Linked DNA regions of Lytechinus pictus. The protein of the gene in region 2 purifies or fractionates together with the protein of the main gene of each other region. This does not show direct contact. Links are inferred from orthologs where the notes say so. Each region holds a gene or a part of one and is shown on either strand. Other genes may lie near its edges.

Region 1 (7,772 bases), on a different chromosome or scaffold from region 2:
TGTTTAAAAACTCCTCAAAACAGACGGCTGCCAGCTGTCTACATGGTCTAGGGCAGGGGTTCTCAAACTACGGCCCGCGGGCCGGATCCGGCCCGCGGAGCTTCTCTATCCGGCCCGCGAGACGCTGCTGGGTTTTTTTATCACTTATAAGTCCCAATATTAAACATAGCTCAATATGATTACATTGTGTATCCATGAAACCGTAATAAAAGTAATGGCAGTCAAATTAATTTGACTTTTAAACAAAGTTTAATGGAGTCTTTTCTGTCTTTTCTACATTCTAATTAGATGACCAGCGCGGCGCTTCATTGAAAAAAAATTTTCACGTCAAACGTCGGATAACACGTTGCATTTTGAAAACATGTGCGCATACATTCCAACACGCGATCAATTTGGTTAAAACGTAAACTTAATTGCCGGTTCAAGTTCTGCGGATTTTCTCAGGGGTACATTAGTCATCATTAATAATAGCCAGGTCAAGATGGCATCAAATTCTGCAAATAAAGGAAAGGTGCATGCTGAAAATCGTGCTTTCCATAAAGAATGGACAGACAAGTATGCTTTCATTTTGCCGCAATCGAGTACAAGGCCAATGTGTTGGCCAATCTACTTTGACAAAAAAAAATATTGATAGGCCTACTACAAAACATTATCTGTCTCTTAAATTCCAGGTATGTGTTAAAATTGACGTATAGGTACAATCTACATTCCTTTTAACAAAGTACAACAATTTTGTTGTCTATATTGACTCTTGCTGTATTTTGAAATCTTTTCTGATATTGCCTGTGTTCCATATGAAACCGTAATTATTTTTTGGATTAAATTCTCCCAAAAATAAGGGCCAGATTGCCCCAGATAGCATCTAGGACCCCGGCCGCAAGGGTCTTCGCGCTTCGCGCACATTTTTTTCCAAAAAATCCACTCACCCTGGCCCTTTCAGGTTTATTTCGAGTCTCATCTGGCCCTTCAAAGAAAAAGTTTGAGAACCCCTGGTCTAGGGTAATAGTATGCAGCGCTTAGAAACATTTGTATTAAGCGCTATATAAATGTTGCATATCATTATTATTATTATCCCTTTTACATGATTTAGGCAAGATCTTTTAGATGGAAAGTAGACTAGAAATCTCGGGGGCAAAAATTTCTGTTTCTTTCACGGTACACGCACATAAATGGGACGCAATTCCTGGCTCCGTGGAGAGTAAGCACATGTTAGTAAATGAGTTTTACACTCTAACGTTAGGAGCCTCCTGCTTGGCTAGCTACACACACCCAACACCTTCTCTATCCACTCATTCAATGAACAAGGTTATGATATAAATAATGTCTCTATCTAACTTCTAAGACAGGTTGTGTGTACTGACGATCAATTTTAGAAAGTCATTTGGAAAAATTTACAAGCGAAGTTTCATCAATTTTTAGTACAAAATGTTAGGAAATATTATAGAGACAAAATAGAAGATGATTATAACTATTAAATTCATATTTTTAGTGTAATCCAAAGACAAACAAGAAGGCTTCAAAAATATAAAGTAGGCCTATCCGAACACCCGACCCTCGGCCCTCCATCCATGATCCTATTCCTAAAGTAAAAAAAAGAGTTAGGCCTAACTTGACTTTGTTTACCTCCTTGTCCTTGAACATGTTCATGGCCTTGACCTTGTGCTTGTGACAGTGTTGGCGGCATGTCTCACAAGCTGATGACAATTCAAACCAGATATTATAAGATATATTAGCAATCGAATTTTGTTCTCTGTTGGCATTGGAGACGAAACAGACAGAGCTGGTGCTGTACTTCGTATCGAAACCTTTCTTCAACCGCGCCGGGTCTGTCGGGTTGGTATTCGTAAGCGCGATGGTTCAGCGCTGCCGCGAGTTCAAGAAGAGACTGATTGCGAAAGATGTCACGTCTATGCAATATGCCCTATGTACGTCGAGCCGGACAAATCGTCCTACATAAGAATCGCCGTAACAAAAATACTCCCAGCTCAGATCGACCCGACCCATATATACTTCAGTTGCTGCCTCATGAAAAACTTATATTTCACTTAACTATATTCAAAATACTTCTCAGATCCGTGACTTCAAATTTGGATTTATAAAGAAAGGAACAGTAAAATTAAAGAAGGCTAGCTGGCGCCGGATTTTCTGAATCAATCGAAAATCAAACAAGCATATAAAAAATTCAATCAAAATCTGGGGCCCGTTTCATAAAGAGTTACAATATTGTTTTAACTTTGCCATTATGGCAACTACCATGGCAACAGGGCTCAGCAGCCAATAAAAATCAAGGTTACCATGGTAGTTACCATAATGGCAAAGTTGCAACTCTTTATAAAACGTGCCCCAGGTGTAAAATAAGAAAGTCATAGCTATAGGTAAATGGATTCAGGTTTTGGCAAGGGGGAGGAGCATATAAGCAGCCAGCGGCGACGAGTATAGTCTGCAGCACATACTTTGATCAACAATCTCTCCACGCATCGACGAGCACATAAACTTGCTGTGGCAATAGGCTTCCAGTACACGTCATGAATATAGGCTGCACATTCTGACCCTTATTCTAGTGAAGCTATAGGGTTGGCACAGCAGACTAAGCCTGCATGCAGTGGTGGCGGCGCCTTTAAAAAAAAACGTAATTATCACACCCGTAAAATCATCGCGGGACTGCCGATTCCGGCGTGACAGTGTGTCGTCTAAAATGCAATATTATTTGGTTTGGTGGAGACAAAAAGGGCGGAGACTCCGGCTTACACTCCCATAGGCCTATTGTGCTCCATGAGGATAAGTATGACTGTGTCCACCAACAACATTTGGCATTTTTGGGGCATATAGTTTATTGACCATCAGTGCAATAACTATATATTTTGCCCATTCTAAAGTAAATTCATAGACGGATCCAGGGGGCGAGGGGCCCGCCCCCCCCCCCCCCCCGCTGGTGGAGCAAAAAAAAGATTTTAAAAAAGGGGGGAAAGACAAAAAAGAGTAGGGAAAAATAGCAGAAAAAAGAGAAGGAAGACGAGTGAATAAAACAAAATGAGGAGAAGACTTGGAAAATAAACAAAATCTTTCATGTTATGATTTATGAACATAAACAAAATTTTGAGTGGCTGTCGCAAAAGGAACTCTTCCCTCAGAGAGGAATCTTTCATTTCACTTCGCGCTTGAATTGCCTGTTTTGGTTATGGGGTGATTATATATTTTGCTCAATATACAAAACATATTTCAGTTCGAAATCGAACTTTCATTATTTTGTTTGATTTACGAATTAATTTTAAAAAGTGCTTTGTAAACATGTTAGTTTTAAGGTCAATATTAACATTTGATTTGTCAGGTAGGCCCTATTATTTTCGTGTATTCCATAAAGTTCTCAAAATATCCATATTCACGGTCGACATATCAGCTACCGATGCACGCTCTCATTTTGATTGGTGAGTTATGTATAGGCCTCAATATTCTGAACTATATTTCCTACTAGGAAGATCATGATTTACAAAACATGGACAGAGTGTCCCGTTTCTAGGTCTAAAATCTGAATTTTCTTCAGCTCGCGCTTCGCGCTAGTATCATTGTTTAGTTACATTCCTATCCCTTTCATGATTACAAAAAGTGCCTACCGTTGGCGGATGGCACAGCCCGCCGGCCCGTGCCCCCCCCCCCCCCCATGGAAGGCACAATTGAATTTTGTAATGTAAAGATGCCGTTAAGACAGAAGTGTGCCCCACCCCCTTTGAAATTGAAGACTTTTTTTCTGCTTGTCAAATTATTTTGTGGACGAAATACCCTTATTAATAAAACCCTTTTTTTTGCTTGTCAAAGTTTTCCTGTAAAAAATGTGCCCCCTTTCGAAAGATCCTGGATCCGCCCCTGCTTAGAATGACCATTATTTTAGGTCGGAATGACAACAATTTTCAGCTTGCGCATCGCGCATGTTACAATATTTATCGTCTTCATGGCTATAACTCGGGGGCTAACTGCAAACAGTTCTTATCAGGCCGGAACGTTTATTCAAAATTTCTGATCGCGCTTGGCCGCGCGTTCGCAGTAATTATCTAGTTATATACATACGCATCTTGTTCGCAGGATCACAAACATTGCCCAGAATGTTAAAATTTCAGGACCAAATAGGCCTACATGAAAGTTCAAAAACAAAAATTAGATCGCGCTTCACGTCCGCTCGCACTTTTTAAATAGGGCTTATGAGATTAGTTTTATAACAATATAGCTAAGAAGTGACAAAAATCAACTCGGCCGATCGGGAAAAATCGGGGGAAATATGGGTGAAAATGATTTCGGGCCCCACCCCCTACTGGCGAAAGCTTGATCCGCCCCTGTGACAAATCAGTATGCACGGACACTTTCAGTGCCCCACCCCCGATTAAAAAGCAGGGACTCCCAGTGTCCCCCCAGGAAAAGAAATCCTATAACTACGCCACTGACATCGAATTATTGATTAAGGGTTATATTGTCTCTTTGGAAATAGTAGGGTCAATGATTGAAGAAAATTTTGGTAGCTTTGGATAAAAAGAAATGGAGGTAGAGGCCACATAGGCCTACTTTTCGTTTAGATCGAACGATGTATATTGAGTAAAGAGAGTTTGATGAGGACGAGTTATTAGGGAGTCTCCGTACTATCCCATGGTACACTAGCAGCTTGCTACGTCAACTAACTCGACACTGCATACCCACTACCTAGCTATGCATGCACTCAGCTCAGCCAGCCGGTGCGGCCACTACCACTATACCGTACACAGACAGACTGTGCGTAATTACCGGTGGCAAGTTGTGATGATTCAACGAAGCAAGATGTTTGTAGATCTATCCTTCTAACGGTTATATTATAGTTGATAGATTGTGGCACGAGAGTCGCATCTGCATTTATTGACAAAGTTATTTTTCCTCAGATTTCGTCTGTCACAGAATTGTTCAAGAAAAGAGGAGGCTTAATCAATAGTCATCAATTCAGAGCTGGTCTTTCGTGAATGACATTTCGTCATGAATGATGTGTGAAAAAACTAACTAACATCGTCATTGAACAAGAGTCTTGAGTCAAGGAAAGAGACGTTAATTTAACAACATTGAGTAAAGGTGGTTGGTGGTTTGATGCGATTGAGTTTCTGAAGAACTTCTTGATTGTTATCTTTAAGCAGACATCTGTTTCGTTACCGAGTCTGAGCTGAAACTTTGGAGAAATTGTGTAATGTAACGTGTAAGTTTAAGTTAACGTTTAACTTAATAACTGTACTCTGTAGTCAGACCAAAGGCTCCACTTTGACTTATTAGTATAGTAATATTAATGGGGATGATAGTAGAATGTCAGAAATTGGTAAAGAATCCCCAGAAACAACAGTTATTCCTGTCCAGTAAAGCACCAACTGTGCCAGCTAACAGACGGAAAGAGTTCCTCAGTCTTGCGACACTCCGACTGGCGACATCGCGACAGCCACCCAAAATAACGAGATTGTCGCGACTTCCGGTCCATTCACTTCTTGTTCCTCCATCATGTTTTTTTTTAAAGAAACACTAAAAAAAAAACGATAGAGGAACAGGAAGTGAATGAACCGGATGTCTCGACAATCTGATATTTTGGGTGGCTGCCTGTTGCAAGAGGAACTCTTTCCCAGTTGGGTCCTTTCTGATGGCCCCGTTCTTCGCAAAATTTAAATATTTTGGTCACTTGAAAATGGTATCCTATTAATTATTGCCTAACATGTTTTCTCTGGGAAAAGTTGTAAAATTTACAAAATCACTGATCATCTATTTTGTTGTTTTGAGAAAATAAGGGCCTTGAAAATATGACCCTTTTTCATCTATGTCACATGAGTTGCCTATACACATCCACACCTGAATAATTAATGATTAGATGAGTGGGCTTCATTTGTAAGGATTTGTAATGTTATTGTTTAGTTTCTCTGGGCAGTTTTCGATGTGTAGAATCTAGACATTTCATTCCTGTTTTTTTTTTTGGGGGGGGTCCACATTTTGTGCTCTTTTCAAGAATGATTACCAGTCAAAATATTTCTATTTTGGGGGGCTTTTTACATCCTGCCTAAATCTGCATTTAATAGATCAGCTTTAAAATAGTGAATGGGGATTTTCTAGGGTTTTTTTTTTATTTCCAGAGCTCTTTTGGGGCAAAATCTGAGCTCCAGTATAATTTTTCTCCCTGATTTACATTTTGATACCCCCCCCCCTTGCCAGTTATCTTGATGCAAATACTTCTTTATTCAGAATTCAATCTTTCAAGGGCAATCAATTAGAGTTATTGAGTTGCGATATCACCAGTTGCATTGTCTGTCTTCCAGATCTTGGCAATGCCATACACCACCAATGTACAATAGACGTCGACACCCTTCAACTGAAGAAAACATTAGTGAGAGCAGCAGGTTTTCCGGTAACAGTGGGTACCACCAACGCAGCGGTTGGACGGTCACTACTCACATTCCACCAGAGACTCTTTCCACGGCAGGAGGAGTAGATACTGGCGATATGACTTGCCGAGATCGCACCCAGGAGTTCCTCTCCACCATCAAGTCCATGCAGTCAAGACAAGTAAGTATCTGGAGAGGGGGGGGGGTAAACTTTTCATTATTCATACACGTGCCACTTTCACTTTCAGAAATCTAAAATTATTAGACAATGTGTAACATTCCATTTTATTTGATGACATCACAATGTACATCACATGTTAGTCATATTTCATAATTGTTTGAATCATGTAAAGGATATGTTGGGTCAGTTCTTAATGAAATTGTGAACATACAATTTTTTTTTCTTTGGGTATCAGAAATGGGAATATTAAAAATCTTTCATGTTATATTAACTAAATACATGTAACTGATAACTTGAATGCTTAGATCAAATACAGCTTTACTATTTTAACTGTTATGCAGTGTATATAAACCTTCGTTAAATTCTTCTTAGATCATTTGTTAAAAAATATTTGTAGTGCTTGTCCCTCTTATCTTATAAAACTTTTATTAGAGGTTTAGTCTTTTTACACATGTTAAACTTTCTTTTGAAAGTGTACCCAAGTCTTGAAATAGAAATGATAAAAGAGAAGAAACAATAATAAGACATGTTTATTTTGCAGGGCAATGGAGTGACAGCTAACAAACTGAATGGAAAGCCACAACAATACACAGATTTCATGAGAATTGCAAAGTAAGTTTCTAGGCATTAAAGGGAAATCCCCCCCCCCAAAAAAAAAAAAAAAAATGTTTTTAGAAGAAAAAGGAATATCAGACAAGTAGATAGGCAAAAGTTTAAACAATATTGGACAAACAGTAAGAAAGCTATGAATTTTTTAAAAGTTGTAAAAATTGGTAATCACTTATACCCTTGGAGAATTCAAATTAGCCGTATGGTGATGTCATACTGGTGTAAGGCAAGGAGTACTTTTCCATTTACTCCAATACACAAAATGGCTTTAATTTTTTTTTCGAAGGTTTTACTCTAAATTATATTTTCCTTATGAGGACATTAAAACAATTGATTACCTTGGTTGTATTCTGATTACTGCCCTAGGGCAATTGATAAAACCACACATCCGTGATAATATTTTAAAAGTCGGAACTTTCTTATTGCTTGTCTGCTTTCACCATTCTATTTACTTATGTTTTTTTCCCTCTCGCACAACTTATTATGACCAAGGTTAGCTTCCCCATAATCATTTTCATGTGCAGAGTTGACCAAATAGTCTGTAGAATATATCTGCCCCTGCTCGCAAAGAACATGAGGGATTGCTAATTTGCTAAATTTCACCTACTCTTTCTTTA
Region 2 (8,613 bases):
ATCTATCTATATCACCATTATTCATTTGGAAAAGAAAAGGCAAATAAATAATGAAAAGTCAGGAATACCTTTTACATCAGCAGATAGCTTTATCTTGTCCTTCTTCTTGAGGAAATCTGTGATGTTTTGACTGTATAGAACTTTCTGCTGTCTGAATGATGTTCCCATTGGCACTCCTGCAAACTCAGGAATCTCCTCCCTTTCATTCTCACCATTTCTATCCCTTTTTATTGCTGAACCTAGACTGTTGCTCCTCTTAAGTCTCCTGCTAGAGCCATTGCTTTTTCTTACCACGTCTGGTTCTTGTTCTCTTGATTCTGAATTGATTTGTAGGTCTTGTTGCCGAGGCGATAAGTCCACATCTTCAGTAGATGTAGAAATAGCTCCAGGTTTCAATCCTTGACCAAACCCCAAGTCTCCTTCTTCCATTTTTGAAGTAAAATGTTTCTAAAGCATTTTCAGAAGAAATTATATCCAGTTGTGAGATAGCATCCTCACTCACATGAAACAATATTTTAGGCACTTCCGACTGCTGAATTTAGAGTCCAATTTCGCCTGGAAGATAAAATCTCCATTTCTGGTCATCATTAAGACTTAGACCCTGCATTGATTTAAATAATAAGGAAAAATTAAGAAAATGTTAATGTGGAAACAACAAACAATAATAATTTAAAATCAAATTATTATTAACTAGGTGTAGATCTACACCTCTAAAAGTTATATTGCTACTTGCACATTAACCCAGGGAGCTCCGGCCCGCTGTGCCCAGGGGCTTACCATGTATTTGACCATACTCACGGGACTTGCATGATTTATGGTCTAAATATTTCTCCAAATGAATTGTGAAAACATAAATTATGCACTTACCGCGATTATATGGATGAAGGTCTAACGAGTGGCAGTTTCCTGACATCGAGGCACATACTGGAACTTCAAAAAAACGAAAAGTTCTCTCCTTCTTTTACCCCCGTCTCGATCGGCCATTTTTGTTATGAATCGTAACAAAATGGCCGATCGAGACTGGGGTAGGAGAGAACTTTTCGTTTTTTTTAGTATGGTCAAATACACGGTAAGCCCCTGGGCTCCGGCCCGCTGTGCGGGCCGGAGCTCCCTGGGTTACTTGCACATCAGATATATGCTGGACTGTCTGATGTATCAATTATCATCGTGATATTCATGGTGTGTGTATGTTCCCAAGTCAAAGCAGTTTCCCTTAATCTTTAAAAATGAACAATTGAGAAAACATACAACCCAGCATATAATAACACAACTACAAACTAAAATATTCTGAGTAAAAAAATGATGAAAATGTAATTAAATGTTACATTTCAAGCATTCATGTATAAAAAAAAAGGGCCTCAAAAAGACAATATGGGGCCTGGGGTCATCAACTTCAAGCAGGCTTGCCCCGAAAACATCTCCCGAATTGTGTGATAATATATTTTGCTTTAAAATAGATATCAGGGGATTTTGCCATGATTGCATTGTTAACCCCCTATTATCAGCCTAAAGACAAAGTAATGGCAACTGCACGACCGCGAGCCGTCTGTTTAACTTTAACAAGGAGAAGAAAAAAATGTTTAAAAACTCATCGAAACAGACGGCTGCCAGCTGTCTACAGTAGAGGCGCTGGTCAGAAAATTGGGATCGTCCCAGAATACAGGGACTGTCTCAGTTTATAAGGATTTCTTCACACAAGAAATCTAGGAAAGTTCATTCACCTGTCAAGTGCCGACACCAATCAAGTGTGCTAGTCAATGTAAACATATCAGGTTTCATAACAAGATTATTGGAAGACGGTAAGTCATGAAAAATAGACGGCGAACTGGGGGGAATTGAGGTCACTGAATCTATTTTTAGCACTCTCAATTTCCGTAATTGCTGTCTTTGTCCCGTAGGGAGAAGTGAAAAAAAAACGTCCCCATAAACAAGGACAGTCTCAATTTATCAAGACATGATTTGTCTTGGTTTATGAGGATATCCTTGTTTTCTGGGACAATCCCAGTTTTTGGACCAGCGCCTCTACTGGTCTAGGCAATGCTAATGGCCTGCCTGCCGAATGACTCCTTCATTGTTTCATTTGATAAAAGGAAATTTGCCATTACGATATTCACCTATTCACTTGCTTGCCAAAAAGACACGCACGACGAAGGCCGGCCGAAGGCGCGGCAGGGATAAAGCAGCGGATAGTGGCCTTCTGGAGCACGGGGCTTGCCCGGCGCTGTCATCAGGTACAGTCCGGTGGGTCCCCCAGCAATAGGCGGTGAGCCTTGTGTAGGTAGCGCGAGCAATAACAATAACATGAATGCGATCATCCTGGAAGAAAATCTCTACCATAACGTTAGAGATTTATTTTTTAGACTTAGATCTGTTTAATACTTATATAACAATTTTGTTTTTTATATTATTTTAAATATTTAAAACCTATAAATTATATTTTTACGTGATTATAATCTAGCATGAGTTATTCAGGCCGCATTATATTGATTTGTGAATATAATTTTTAGTTGGCAACTACCCTCAAGTACACAAATTCTAGTGTAGACCTTTAAAATATTATGAGTCATTCAGAATGACGTGTCGACCGCTAGCGCTGCGCCCACGCAAGCGACCAATTAGCGCCCGATCACCACAGAAATATGAAAGAGCTTGTAGTGTGTCTTCAAAAAGGTGCAAAAGACGGGAAATGTCCTCTTTTCTAGATGAGATACTGTCAGATTTGATTTATTTTCTATTGCTTCGCTCACAATGTTCATAATTTAAAAATTTCAATTGCTAAAAATCAAAATGTATCAATATGAGAGCTATGCCTATCATTATGAGGATTTAATGATAACTAACACTCAAGATACATTCATGCGGGATTTCGGTAAAGTGTCCTTCGCATATCGTGAGTTTATTGTCCAACCCCATTTGTAGGAGTGCCTCTGTACATTGCCTCTGTATCATATAGAGGGGGCCTCGCGGGTGGCGTAGGGGGGGGGGGGATTGTGCAATAGGGCCCACGGCAAAAATTATCACCCCTGACAGGGGCGGATCCAGCTTTCGCCAATAGGGGGGGGGGGCCGAAAAATATTTTCATCAACATTTTTCTCGATTGGCCGCTATAATCTGATTTTTTTTTTTTTTTTTTTTTTTTTGGGGGGGGGTTCAGGGGGTAGTCCTAAATAGAGACTGAAGTTTTAAGTATATGTTAGTTTTTATTGTTATAAACTAGATAAGGTATATCATGTGGTCTTAATATATAATGCGAGCGCAAAGCACGAGCTCAAATTCTTTGATATTTTATGTCCTTAGACCTGAAGATTCTGAGGAGATTTTATAATCATGAAAAAGATAAGTATCCAACTAAACAATGCGAGCGCGAAGCGCGAGCCGAAATTTTATCATAGTAACGTGAAAAGGGACTCAATTAGGACTGTTTTTATTGATTAATGAAGAGGATACAAGTATCACCAATTAAATAATGAGAGTGCGAAGCGCGAGCTCAAAATTTTTGATATTCCGACCTGAAAACTGGACAGTCTAAGCGCGTTTTTATTTAAATACAGAAAAAGCTGTGTGTCTCAAACAATAAAATGCGAGCGCGAAGCACAAGCTCAATTTTTTTATATACTGACATGATAAAGGAGCATTTTGACAAATTTTGGTAAGAATTTCCAAAGAGGATAGGTAACTCACAAATCAAACAATGCGAGCGCGCAGCGCGAGCTGAAAATTTTGATATAAACAATTTGTGTAAAACAAACAAAATAATTAAAGCTTGATGTGCGAGCTAAAATATTGTGTGCAAATTGATTTCAGATCTGGATATATAAGTGTCATTTAATCCTCTTGAATGGGATTCATTGGCACAGGCAATGCGAGCGCAAAGCGCGAGCGAAATTTTTTATATAAAGTTCTTTTTTCCAATTCTTCCCCTCACCCTTTTCTTGTTTCCTTTTGGGGTCGGGCCGGCCGTTACGAGGTTGTAAACTACACATCCTGGGTATGATACCTCTTTCCTACTTTTCTTTAGTGCTTTTCCTATAGTACACTTTTTCTGCAGGTTGTCAAAAAATAGGGGGGGGGGGCCGGCTCGGCCCCCTCCTGGATCCGCGCCTGCCTGACGCATTGGGCTCAGGACAAGTCCATCCCAATAAAAAGTTAATAAAGGAAAAAACGAAAAATCCAACAAGCACAACACTAAAAATTTCATCAAAATCGGATGTAAATTAAGAAAGTTACGACATTTTATGATTTTCTTTTAATTTCACAAAATAGTTATATGTGCATTCTGGTCTGTATGCAAATGAGGGAACTGATTGCGTCACTCATTCACTATTTCCTTTGTATTTTTTTATATGAAATATTTTAATTTTCGTCTCATTAATTGTTCTGTGTATCAAATTCCTTCATAAACATGTGGAATTGCCATTGTTTTAACATTTTTATGGTTCAGTCAAGTTACACTCTTAAAACAAATCATGATTGACTAGACCAGTATAGCGGCTGGGTGCAACTGATATGAAAATAAATGATTATCACATTTCTGACATATCGAAATAACTCTGTTCTAGTAATACGACTAGAAAAAACTCAAATATGACTAGAATAACAGTTGCACCCACTGCAGCTGACCCTAAGTCATTTTTGACTGGTTTGTCTTTAGAGACGGTGTGGTCCTTTTTGTCATATCTGTAAATTCAAACAAAAAAAACATTAAAAATGTGATGGACATCATCGACATTCTCATTTGCATATCACTGAGTTGTGCATATAATTAGGAAAAATAAGTGAAACTTTGAAATGTCATAACTTTCTTATTTTACATCCGATTTTGATGAAATTTTCACTGTTACGCCGCTTGTTTGATTTCTCTATTTATTCAAATCAACATTGAGTCCTTCAAACACAGGCTGGACAAACATTGGTCTTGCCATCATCAAATTCTCCCCTACATAAAAAAAAATAAATATCCGTCCACCCTCCACGCAACATGCATGCATGTAATCTACAAGTCATTTAAAATAGTCAAGTTGGAACAAGCACTATCAAAAGGAACGACCGGAAGTCTCGACATCAGGCTTGCCTTCTTCTTCCGTACACTGATGATGATGATGATGATGAACATTTTTCTGGGGTGGACTTTACATTTATCAACTAGACCATAAACTTAAGTCTGTGTACCATTCCCGGGTACCATTGACTGCTCTGCTGAACTACATTAGCTACACTTTCCTAGTTTAGAAGGGTGTGTGAAGTCTAATATCAATACACTTTTTATTATTTTTGTTTGCTCTTTTGTAGACACCATAATATAATAAATCGATTTTTAGGTCTGATATTTTCAGGATTATGCGCTAATGGTCGCTAGAAAAACCGCACAGTACGGCGTAAATGAGTAATCGCTCATAAACGTTGACAGAAGAAGCTACAAATCCATCGTTATCACCGTCCTTCGCTACGAGACCACCCATCTGATTCCAAACAAGAGAAGTGACAGTGAATTGAACGATCTGCGACGTGACGTGCCCAGTGATTAGTCAGAAGAGAAAGAGAAATAGTCAAGTCATTCTAACGTTACGTTAGTTTCTACCTCCACTGCTCAGGCTCCATGGTCAAGTGCAGTGTGAGTGTAAATTGTAATGATGAACGACAACTAACAGAGGCTCTGAGTGAGAGTGGAACAGTACTGTCAGTGGAACGTGAACTGGAGTGGAAGCAGTGACGAGTCAGCTCAGAAGATAAACTGAACTGAACGGAAAAAAAGGTCAGGGTAAGTTTCAGACGGCATGGAGATTGGAGGGGAAGGGGGAGGGGGAGGAGGCGACAGCGTATAAAATAAGACAGTCACTGAGTCAGTTTCGCATCGGCCGGCCTCAACTTCAAAGTTCAAGTTCAATTTTTTTTTTCAACTTTCAATCAAGCAAATTTCCCTACCAGGGGCAGTAGGCAGTCTTCAGGTGAAAATTAGGAAAGGCTGTTCCACTTCCACTTCCAGCATGTTTTTTATGCTCACAATAAATGAGGCTCAATATCTACGATTCACAATCTGTTTGAATTTTCAAATTCCGACTTCTAGAAATCGAGTTATTGTCATCTTTGTGATACAAAATGACTTTTTTGTGGACAAAAGATGATTGCGTAATCCAGGGCCGTAATCTTATTATTCTCTTTGTTTTGGGCATGGCACACTTATATTATAATGCATAGCTTATGGGGAATGTACAAATATTTTGAAAGCTTTTTTGCAATGATTTTGACTACCCCTGGACGATTACCCCCCCCCCCCCCCGGACAACTACACGGTACCCCATCCAAAAATCTACACCTAACCCTATTTCGGGGTACTAATTGTCCTGTGGTACTGGTACTCATTGGTAGGTTTGTGCACAGGGTAAACATGACTTGATATGGATTTCTTTTGCTTGAACATTAGAAATTAAATTTTCAATGAATATAATTTGAAATAAAAAGAAAGAGAATTCAAATAATAATCTCAGAATTTTTAGAGAAAAAAATAAAGTCAGATTAATTTCAATTATTTATTATGATTATCGCATTATTGTTATTATGGTCTCAATAATATTTTAAATATTAGTATTGTCTCATTATCATTGTTTCATCATTGTTGTCAAAATTATTGTTAGAATTATAATTATAATCATAATTATAATATCAATAATTATAATATAATAATAATTATTGTCTAATTAATATTATTCTCAATAATTATTACAATTATAATTACTATCATAATTGTTATCATAATTATTTTATAATTGTTTCAATAATGATAAGGCCTACATAATTATAATTATTTTAATTATAATTATTATAATAATGATTGTTATTGATGTCTCATTAATATTATTGTCTCAATAATTATTACAAAATGTATAATTACTATCATTATTATAATTGTTATAATTATTTATAATAATTATAATTGTAATAATAATTATTATTGTCTCAATAATTATAAGGGCTATGATTATTATAATTATAATTATTTTTATAATAATAATTATTGATGTCTAATTAATAATATTGTCTCAATAATTATTACAATTATAATTATCATTATAATTATAATTGTTATCATTATAATCACTTTCTAATAATAATTACTATTGTAATAGTAATTATTATTGTCTCAATAAAATTGAGCTCTTCATCCACAATGACACCAAGATCATCTTGGTGTCATTGTGGATGAAGAGCTCAATTTTAATCAACAAGTCTCAGCAGCTGTTTTGAAAGCTAACCAAATACTTGGAATAATACACAGAACTTTTTCTCAAATAATCTCTGAAATATTACCAATTTTGTTTATAAGTCTGATTCGACCTCATCTGGAATATGGGAACATTTTATGGCATGTGAGATTCAAAATGGATGCAGACAAAGTAGAGAAGGTGCAAAAGAGAGCTTCTCGCATGATTCCTGGTCTCCAGATTTTAACTATGAGCAACGTCTAGAGAGACTCAACCTTCACTCACTGTTTTATAGAAGATGAAGGGGAGATATGATCACTGTTTATAAACTGTCAAATGGAAAGTTGGGGATCTCTAGTGACACATTCTTCACACCAGCAATGCACTCAGCAACAAGAGGTTACAAGTTCAAGCTTTTCATACGACGATCTCGGTTGGAACTTAGAACTAGAAGTACATTTTTTAGCCAAAGTATAATTTCTGATTGGAACAAACTGCCTACAGAAGTAGTGGAAGCTAAATCAGTGGAATCAGTGAAAAGATTTAAAGATCTGTCGGACAAGTTCTGGTGGGGGGGATTGAAAACCTCTATTTCTCAACGCATGTAAAGATTCATAAGTTCAAGCTGTATAGATATACTTGTAAAATACCCAAAGTAAAGACCAGAAAATCTACAGGAGAAGTCTTCATTTCCGTTCCTGATGTGATGAGAGACTTGCTATGATATTTGCAAAGAATTACTGGTGGGGAAATTTGCTTGAAGTTGGCCGATGCAAAACTGCATTTGCGCAACCCTTAGCCTTGATAAATGTTAATTATATTGAATCAAGCTTAACTAACTATCTTACAAAGGTATAGATCATCATTTTATGATAATTTTTGTTTCTAAAGTGATTCAATTGGTACACCTTACATGTATTTGTATATTGATCATGAACAGTGTTCCCAGGTCCAAGCTGAAGAAAATCCGCAAAAGGCACTCGAAAATTCCACCAATTGGAATCTACATGTATATCCCCAAATTTTTCAAATCACAATAATTTCTGAAAAAGTGAGGACATTTACCATGATTATTGCCCAAAACTAGTTAATATGTGCTTGTTTGTTCACACCATACACAGCAGATTTTTATTATTATTTTTTTATTTTTATTAAAGGTTTCGATGCAAAGTAGATTGGCAACACTACCATTGTATCGTACAACCAACTAAGTTCAATGTATCATTCGAATTGCGTAGGAAATGCGCTGATGTACATTCTATGATCTACAGTAGATCGTATTTTTATTATTAGCATCACATTACTGAAAAATAACAAATCTTAGTGCTTTTTATCAAAACCTTCAAATATCCCCTAAAATGCATGAAATTTCCCCAAATTTATTTTAATCCCCATTCCCCAAATAATTTTTTCC

What was found.
Region 1: the proteins of synaptobrevin homolog YKT6-like (region 2) and syntaxin-5-like purify together in Homo sapiens (affinity purification with mass spectrometry; 3 studies listed by BioGRID and IntAct, with this or other methods). This does not show direct contact. The link is inferred for Lytechinus pictus from reciprocal best matches to the Homo sapiens genes YKT6 and STX5.

The regions. Positions count from the first base shown.
Region 1 is NC_087251.1:41,209,017-41,216,788, forward strand, and holds the start of syntaxin-5-like, read left to right. Parts: upstream 1-4,544; 5' UTR 4,545-5,203; intron 5,204-6,299; 5' UTR 6,300-6,324; coding exon 6,325-6,546; intron 6,547-7,087; coding exon 7,088-7,158; intron 7,159-7,772. Other genes in the region: methionine synthase-like, read right to left, coding at 1,624-1,684. UniProt on the Homo sapiens protein: Mediates endoplasmic reticulum to Golgi transport.
Region 2 is NC_087256.1:1,624,859-1,633,471, reverse strand, and holds the start of synaptobrevin homolog YKT6-like, read left to right. Parts: upstream 1-5,341; 5' UTR 5,342-5,758; intron 5,759-8,613. Other genes in the region: coiled-coil domain-containing protein 125-like, read right to left, coding at 69-429. UniProt on the Homo sapiens protein: Vesicular soluble NSF attachment protein receptor (v-SNARE) mediating vesicle docking and fusion to a specific acceptor cellular compartment. Functions in endoplasmic reticulum to Golgi transport; as part of a SNARE complex composed of GOSR1, GOSR2 and STX5.